2 linked regions of the Arabidopsis thaliana genome follow. The protein of the gene in region 1 interacts with the protein of each later gene in a pairwise test. Each region holds a gene or a part of one and is shown in the gene's direction. Other genes may lie near its edges. The genes, in order: RTH and CB5-D.

Region 1 (4,506 bases):
TTTACCTCTCCTGGGTGACGGCTATTTAGAGCATGCACATCAAGCTTGTAATTGTGTTGTGGAATTAATTGTGATGCATCTGAGGTGTGAGCTTCAACATCCTAGATGAGAAGAACGAAAAAAATCTATCAATCTGACCACCAAATTTGTTGCAGGTACGAATGTAGTTAAGGAATATGCAGATAAAGAAGTGAGCAGAAAAGAATAAATAACTGACATCAGTCTTTTTACTCCATCGAAGAAGGCCAGTCTTGCCAGCAAATGCATAGACAGAAAAGTGACGCAAGTTTATGGCTCCAGAATCTTCAGAGGCCTGAAAGGAAGCTTAAAATTCTTCTAAACTGTCCAAACAAAGTTCTTATGCACATTGGAACATGTATAACTACAAACGAATAGCTCTTTCTTCAGAATTGTTCAGTTCTAGAGAAAATGTATAAGGAAACTATAAATATACACAGCTACGAAACAGTCCAAGGAAACTATCATATAGTCGTACCTGATTCTCAGTAGCACTTCTTCTGTGTTGATCAGCATTTTGTGCTGTCATGCCAAGTTCCTCAAATGGGTCCATGTGATTCTAAAACGAAAAGAATAATCTATTGGTAACATATGGAAGATACATAGGAAATCAACAGAGGAATTTTTCATCCTACATACATATGGCTGCATCTCCATCCGTCCACCAACAATAACCAAACCCGTATCACCATGCTTCAATGTGTAATTGCTTATCGAAATTGCTATCTCTCTATGGTGTGCATTATGTGGGAAATCCTCCTGTCATTCCACCAACAAAGGTAAGCAAAAGGAGAATCAATACTACTGAACCAAGACAAACTTTTATGCAGAACGTTAGACAAAGAACGAAGAAGATAAAAACCTGCAGATTCGTTTCCCACAGCTTTTTCAGGTTGTGATCAAAGCAGAGCACAGACCAACCTGAGGTAACAACGACCACAACCTGCTTCTGGGGAGTTCCATTTTTATAGTACCTATCAATAACACCTGTGGCCATGGCCACAGCACGTCTCCCTGACGCAACACGGATCTTGTCAGGCAAAAGAGTGATTTCCGCAAGAACACGTGCTTCACTAAAACCTTCATCCACACGCCTGGAATGAGGCTCCAGAACCTAATCCAACAAAACATCAACAGTTTCAGAACTTAATCCAACACAGAACAGCAAACCATAGAAGAGAAATGCATAATCACCAAGCCTCACATCATTAGTTCGACAAAAAGGCTCTAAAACAATAAAGAGCAATGCATAAGCACTGAACTATAAGCTGCAATCATTCGTTCTAACGACCGAAATAGCCAGATAGACTCTATAAAAATTGGCGAGAAAGATCGAAATCAGAAATGTTTTTACCTACAAAAGTTAGAAAATTTCATATGATACCTGAATTTTGGCATCATTAGTAGCAACGAGAACCTCCTTCTTTCCATCACCATTAAGATCAGCTACAATAGGTGGTGGGAGACGATCAGCTTCGTATTTGACTGGGTATTCATCATACAAATGAAACCATGCTTCTTTGAACGCAAAATCACCCTCGTGCTGCAAAAGTCATCAAGTCCCACATATCAAGTAAACGCACCATTAATAAGAAAATTGAATCCATTGGTTCCATCTGGAAATTCTACAAATTCGCTAACATGACACTACTTACGGATCGAATTAGCAGTCTAAGTTCTACCCACAAAGGAAAATTCAAAGCTTTCTCAAGTAACAGATCGATCAATGATTCTAGATGTTCAGCTACAATTTGATTGAACTAAGAAAGAATAAGAAGACGATTAGTGTGTAAAATCACCTGAAGAGTGAAGAATATAGCAAATCCAGAGAGCATCAAAATAGCCAAATCGCGTTTCCTCATCTTTGCCCTAACCGCAAGCAGATGTATCAATGGCAGATTTGCATCAGTAGGTAGCAGCAATCTCCTTACCAGAGCAGAGAGAACGATGAAGAATAGTCGACAACTTCAAAACTACGCCGTATAGATATATCAGACGTTTAATAGAATAACATCCTGACGTTTTTGTTCTCTTTGACCGAACGTTATGTCGTTTATACTACTATCCTTGAAACGGTGAAGATATCCGAGAGAGGATTAGTTTAAACAAGGAGCCAAACACGTTCTTTAGTGTCATCGTTCGTAAAATTGGGGCCGAGAGAGAAACAAAAATTTCCCAGGAAAAAGGCAGTGATTGAAGATTGTATTAGATCCGATTAATCGTCTTCCTGGTCGCTTGAACTGGTATGTATGCTTTGATCTATTCTTTATGAAAAAGTTTCGGAATCAATGTCTATGAAGATGCTTTGATGTTGACTCGTTGCTAGTTGGATTATGTATCTTTAATGGCGTTTTCTGGATCCCTCGTTCGCCATGTTCGTATGGATTCATCGTTTAGTGTTTAAGACTCGCGATTCGTAGAACTACGAGAATTGTTTACTTAGCTTTTCTATGTAGTGGTCGTAGTGTTTTAGCACAATGTGTTGATTGAATATCAATTAGACGACTCTTGTTTCAAGTTTATCCAGTAATCAATGAATTGGTAGTAGCTTGGTATATGCAAAAATCCAAAGCAGCACAGGGCTAGAAGGAGCTGCTTATCGCTTCTGGAAGGCTCAGTCCCAACTCGGACTTCCATGATGGGATGATATGCATTTATGTTTTGGGTTCGATGTAAATGATATGCATCAGCTATTCGAGTATTAAGAACAACTTTTACATATCAAATCCAAGTGCTTTATTGAATCTTACTTACATGGGGATCACTGGACGTGTTGTTTTTTGCTTACAGAGAATCAAATAATTGAGCTCAACTGGATTTGGATATGGGAGAGACAGCAACAGATTCAGAACATCGCATGATGATCGGATTATCGGATCCTATGAAAATTGATCCCAAAAGAGACCGGTTTCCATGCTGCATTGTTTGGACACCTCTTCCCTTCATTTCATGGCTGGTTCCCTTCATCGGCCACGTCGGTATCTGCAGAGAAGACGGTGTCATCCTCGACTTTGCAGGACCTAATTTTGTCTGTGTTGATAATTTTGCATTTGGAGCTGTTTCTCGATATATTCAAATCAACAAAGAAATGGTAACGTTTGCAAGATGCCGGCTTTCATTTTCAACCTTGATACAAAGTAACAATTTATTCATATTGGCCTTGGATTTGAATCAGGAGTCATCTCGTTCTTCCAGTTCTGGTATGTTCAATGGTGAGAGGAGATATGAGCAAGAAGAAGATAGTCATGAGAAAGAGCCAACATGGGATGATGCACTGAGAAAAAGCACGCAAGAGTACCAACATCACTCATATAACATACTCACATGCAACTGTCATTCCTTTGTAGCCAACAACCTGAACCGTCTATCTATAAAGTCAGGCGGATGGAACGTGGTGAATCTCGCGACACTAGTGCTTTTCAAGGGACGTTGGGTGAACAAAACGGCTATAGTAAAGTCCTTGTTGCCTCCACTCATAGTCTACACTATAGGAATCTTACTCGGTGGTTGGACTTTCATTGCCTCCTGCTCGATTCTAGTGGTTTTGCTTACCGGGTGGTTCATCATTGGAACGTATTGTTTCAAGAAACTGATTCAGCTGTAGATTTGAATCATAATGTACAAATGATGTCTACAAAATGTTTTTTACTTTTTACGATGGATATTTACAACTTTGCTTTGTGTGTGGTTAATTTGTTACAAGTAAAACTTTGAGGAGTAAAAGTGTGAATATTTATGATTTGGGTAAAGAAGGAAAGTAGCAATTGGTGGGTGTAATTATGGGAAACAAAATCACGCGTCGAATAAAGTAGAAGAGAAAAACTATTGACGGGCAAAATTGGGATTGGTAGGTGACGCGCATGCTAAGTAATTGAAAAAAAAAAAACACAAGAGGAGAAGAAACAGAACAGAGAAGAAAAAGAGAGAAGATGGCTTCGGAAGAAGGACAAGTGATCGCCTGCCACACCGTTGAGACATGGAACGAGCAGCTTCAGAAGGCTAATGAATCCAAAACTCTTGTAATCTTCTTCTCCCAAATTTCTTGATTTCATTTTGTTTTTGATGAGATATGGATTTGTTATTATTCTTGATTTGGTTTGTTTTGGGTTGCGTTTTTAAATAGAGTCTTTGATCTCTCATACTTAAGCAATGTAATGATATGATTCTTTTTTGTATGAATTCATGTTTGAATTTTATGACAATTCTTGGATCTGCATTACCATAGATTAGATCCTAGGATTGGTAGGAGATCATAATGACTTATATTACGAGTCATGTTGATAATTCTATGAAACTAAGGGATCCCTAGAAAAATGTTTACGCTGAAGATAGATGTAATGTTCACAATTCTTACGATATGATATGTTTTTAGTGTAAATGGTTTTTCAATGAAAATGATTCATGATTGGTTATATTGTTGAAGGTGGTGGTTGATTTCACGGCTTCTTGGTGTGGACCATGTCGTTTCATCGCTCCATTCTTTGCTGA
Region 2 (3,714 bases), on another chromosome or scaffold:
ACATTGAAATACTGTAATGTAAGTTCAGAGTTAAAAGTACAAACACAAAGGTGAATTTTGTACTAATTAGTAAAGAGATAAGAGTGTTTTGAATCTTGAATATCAAATTATTATTAACAAGAAACTGACAAAAAGATGAGACAGTGTTCATTGAGAAGATCTCTGTTGTTTTATCTTTTTTTTTACATTTCTTGGAAATTGGCAAAACCAGTGTGATGAAACTGTGAAATCTTATCTCGAACCCAATCATTGTTCTATGTTTTTCTTTAATCTCTAAAAGTGAAAAAGTGAATGCATGAAACGTTCAGATACATTCATTATATTATACATTTATACATATGGACATGGTGTACGTATGTACACGGGTGCTTGTTTGATCACGGGCTCACTGACTATAAAAATCATGTTTTTTGGGACATATAGATTCGCTTACATCAACTGTGTGACCAATGGGGTATCTGAATTCAGCTTGTTCGATGTTTTGTTTGACTCTTTTAAACTATTTGGTAGTAAAAAGCCAAAAAGGAAGAGCACTGATTACGAAAGCCTTTTTGTCTTTTTGTTTCTTCTTCTCTAGCTCTCTTTCGTTCTCCTTTTGGGTTAGTCCTTCAAAATAAATGTCTTTAACTTGTCATGTATAGTTTCTTTCTCTCGTTGAACACCAACCATAGGCCTTGCAATGTGAGTCAAAACATGCATTGAAAAAAGAAGTGAATTTCAACATTAAATGCTCTCGTTTAACATGCCTATGGTTCCATTAAGCAAAGTACACACTCTATATATGTCGAAAGAACTATACAGTCGGTGTTTTAGCCCTATAGTTAGATACATTCGAACTGATTACAGAAATATCAAATATCCAGTTCTAAGATCGGATTAAGGCAAATACATTTAAACTACTTCTAGCGAATGAGGTTCACATAGAAAAACTTTTTAAAATGAATCACTAAACAAGATTCATTTTCTTTCTAAATAGTGTAAAGACGAGTGATGCATGCAACTGCTCTCCTTTCCGTTGGTCCCTTGTCAAAATATACGACCGTGAATAATTCTTCCCATCATATTTATCTGTCGGAGAGTTCCAACCTCAAAACATTCTCCTTCTCTTATCAATTCTTTCTAAAATCATAAACCAACAAACTGGGCCTATGATCAATTATTCATATTCAATTTAGCCTATAACTAAAACCACACTGCTTTCGTTACACTGGCCTTCCGACAAGTCTCTTTGACTGTTTTTATCTTAAGCGCCATCAAGTTTTAAAGAAGACAACCCCATATCTTTCCTCCCATGAATCATCGTGTCCATATTGCTATAGTTCATGAAAAAACTAAATACTATCGACAACTGAAGAAAAGATCCGGATCTTGTGGACCGAGTGAATGGTTGGGCCCAATTAGAATGGTCTACCCTAACATCTAGCCGTCTACACGATTGATCATACGTCTAAGAGGGCGAAACCACCAAACGTTTGGATTTTATCTAAATTGATGTACATAAAGCTAACATGATTTTAGTATAAACATTATAAGCATCATGGAAATCAATAAGCTAACATGATTTTAGTAGAAACATTATCAGCTAACATGAATTACTAAAAACATTTATTTTATTTTAAGGAAAAACATACAATACTAAGATTTTTTATAACATTTTTTCTTTGTAACATTATAAATTGTTTTAGTTTCTACATTAATTAAATATATAAAATAAATTCATTTAAATAATATAAGAAAACGGAATCTTTGATTAACTGCTGATTATTGGCCACTGATTAATTTCCGACCCCATCAATAGATGAGATCAGACATACACAACTTAAGTAGACCAAAAAAGCGGTTGGTGTAAGATCCCAAACTCACAGATTCCCAAATAATAGTAATACTCTTCCTCTTCTCAACTCTCACCAGTCACCAGCAGATCATCGGAGATGGGCGGAGACGGAAAAGTTTTCACCTTGTCCGAGGTTTCTCAGCACAGTAGCGCCAAGGATTGTTGGATCGTCATCGACGGCAAGGTCCTACATCTCCGATCCCAGTTTCTCATTCGATTTTCCGTTTTCCCTTAGATTTTGCATCTTATCTTCGTGAGATCCGAAATTCTTGAGTTGTGTTGACTTGGATTTATAAATCTAGAGTTATGTAGTAACAAGTTTGGGGATAGATCTGATCTGATTTGCTAGATTAATGTTACTTTTCTAAGTCTAAATCACAGAGAAATTGCTAAAAACTTACGTCTTTATAATTGAATGTGATAGTTGGTGCTGCTTAAGATGTCTCTGTGTGATCTTGTATCTGTAGTTAAAGCTAGTAAGGTTCATGTAGTTCATGTATGTTCTGATGTATGAACTTTTGATAACCCACTTAATCTAGGTCTCTGATTGTGTGGAATTAGGGACTTATATGACAAAGTTTACATTTTTTGTGTGTTTCATTTTGATGGTTATATATAGGTTTATGATGTGACAAAGTTCTTGGATGATCATCCTGGTGGTGATGAGGTTATCTTGACTTCTACAGGTAACATATAGAGATCACTTTCTCTGTTTGTTAGTTCATGTTTATGTTAACAAGAATGTGTTGTTGGTATTCAGGGAAAGATGCGACCGATGATTTCGAGGATGTGGGACATAGTTCGACTGCGAAAGCCATGCTAGATGAGTACTATGTGGGTGATATTGACACAGCTACTGTGCCGGTTAAAGCTAAGTTTGTGCCTCCTACGTCGACGAAAGCCGTGGCTACTCAGGATAAGAGCTCGGATTTTGTTATTAAGCTCCTTCAGTTCCTTGTTCCACTTCTAATCTTAGGCTTGGCTTTCGGCATTCGGTACTACACTAAGACCAAGGCTCCTTCTTCTTGAAAGATTGAATTGTGGCCTAAGTGAATTGCTTGTGTACGACGTGGTTAAACTCTGTCTCTACCTCTGTTTGTCTTGTAAGACATCATTATATTCTCTATTCCAATCAACTGATAGACCTTTGATTTTTAAGCCATCTACCTTTGTTGTCTTATATCAATCAAATCCATTTACAATATCACTCACACACCAGTCTCAAGTCTCACTTAAAAAGCAGCAACAGGTAAGAGAAAATGATAAACACTGAGCTAATCTGTGCTTGCGCAAGTTCTCTCCATCAGTACCTTTGAATCTGTTCTGAAAGACTGCTTTGATGGAGAGCTTGATCCTCTTGAAGAGCTATGCCCAAAGAAGCTAAGTTTCCCCATTTTCTTTGAGAAACTGCTCATGAATTTGCGCGAATGAGACCTCTGCATATCTCTCTTCATACATATATGTTCTTTCTCTAGGTCGTTGAGTCTCATTCTCAACCTAGCTAACTCGAGCTTCAGTTCTCGGTTTTCTCTCCTCAGAGACGCATAGTTGTCTTTGGGGGACATTGTTGCACTGAGAGCTCCGCTATTGATTCTCCATGACTGCTGTTGTTGCTGCTTTGGCTTTGGCTCTTCGTCTGAGTAAGAAGAGCACAAGGAGCTTCGAAGCTTGAGTTGCTCAAAGTAGAGAACTTGAACTATGGATTGCAGAGGAAGCCGCTCGTTTTGTGCAGCGTGTGCTCCAGCTTCTTGTGAGAGTTTCTGGAAGTCAATAAGTTTTGATAGTTTCTTCTTGTCTGAATCTGATAACCCTTGATGTGCCTAAGAGCATAAAACCTAATAAGTATCAAGTCACAACAAGAGTAAGTAAAATTTTCTTGT

What was found.
Region 2: the proteins of RTH (region 1) and CB5-D interact in a two-hybrid assay, tested with the Arabidopsis thaliana proteins (one study listed by BioGRID).

Annotation. Positions count from the first base shown.
Region 1 is NC_003074.8:18,951,397-18,955,902, reverse strand, and holds RTH (RTE1-homolog), read left to right. Parts: upstream 1-2,101; 5' UTR 2,102-2,261; exon of another isoform or gene 2,262-2,808; 5' UTR 2,809-2,842; coding exon 2,843-3,109; intron 3,110-3,193; coding exon 3,194-3,622; 3' UTR 3,623-3,830; downstream 3,831-4,506. Other genes in the region: AT3G51050 (FG-GAP repeat-containing protein), read right to left, coding at 6-101, 218-313, 497-577, 658-777, 881-1,132, 1,403-1,561, 1,818-1,880; TRX1 (thioredoxin H-type 1), read left to right, coding at 3,948-4,037, 4,442-4,506.
Region 2 is NC_003076.8:19,788,398-19,792,111, reverse strand, and holds CB5-D (cytochrome B5), read left to right. Parts: upstream 1-1,739; 5' UTR 1,740-1,931; coding exon 1,932-2,018; exon of another isoform or gene 2,019-2,453; coding exon 2,454-2,520; intron 2,521-2,594; coding exon 2,595-2,863; 3' UTR 2,864-3,045; downstream 3,046-3,714. Other genes in the region: AT5G48800 (Phototropic-responsive NPH3 family protein), read right to left, coding at 3,109-3,654. UniProt on the Arabidopsis thaliana protein: Membrane bound hemoprotein which function as an electron carrier for several membrane bound oxygenases, including fatty acid desaturases.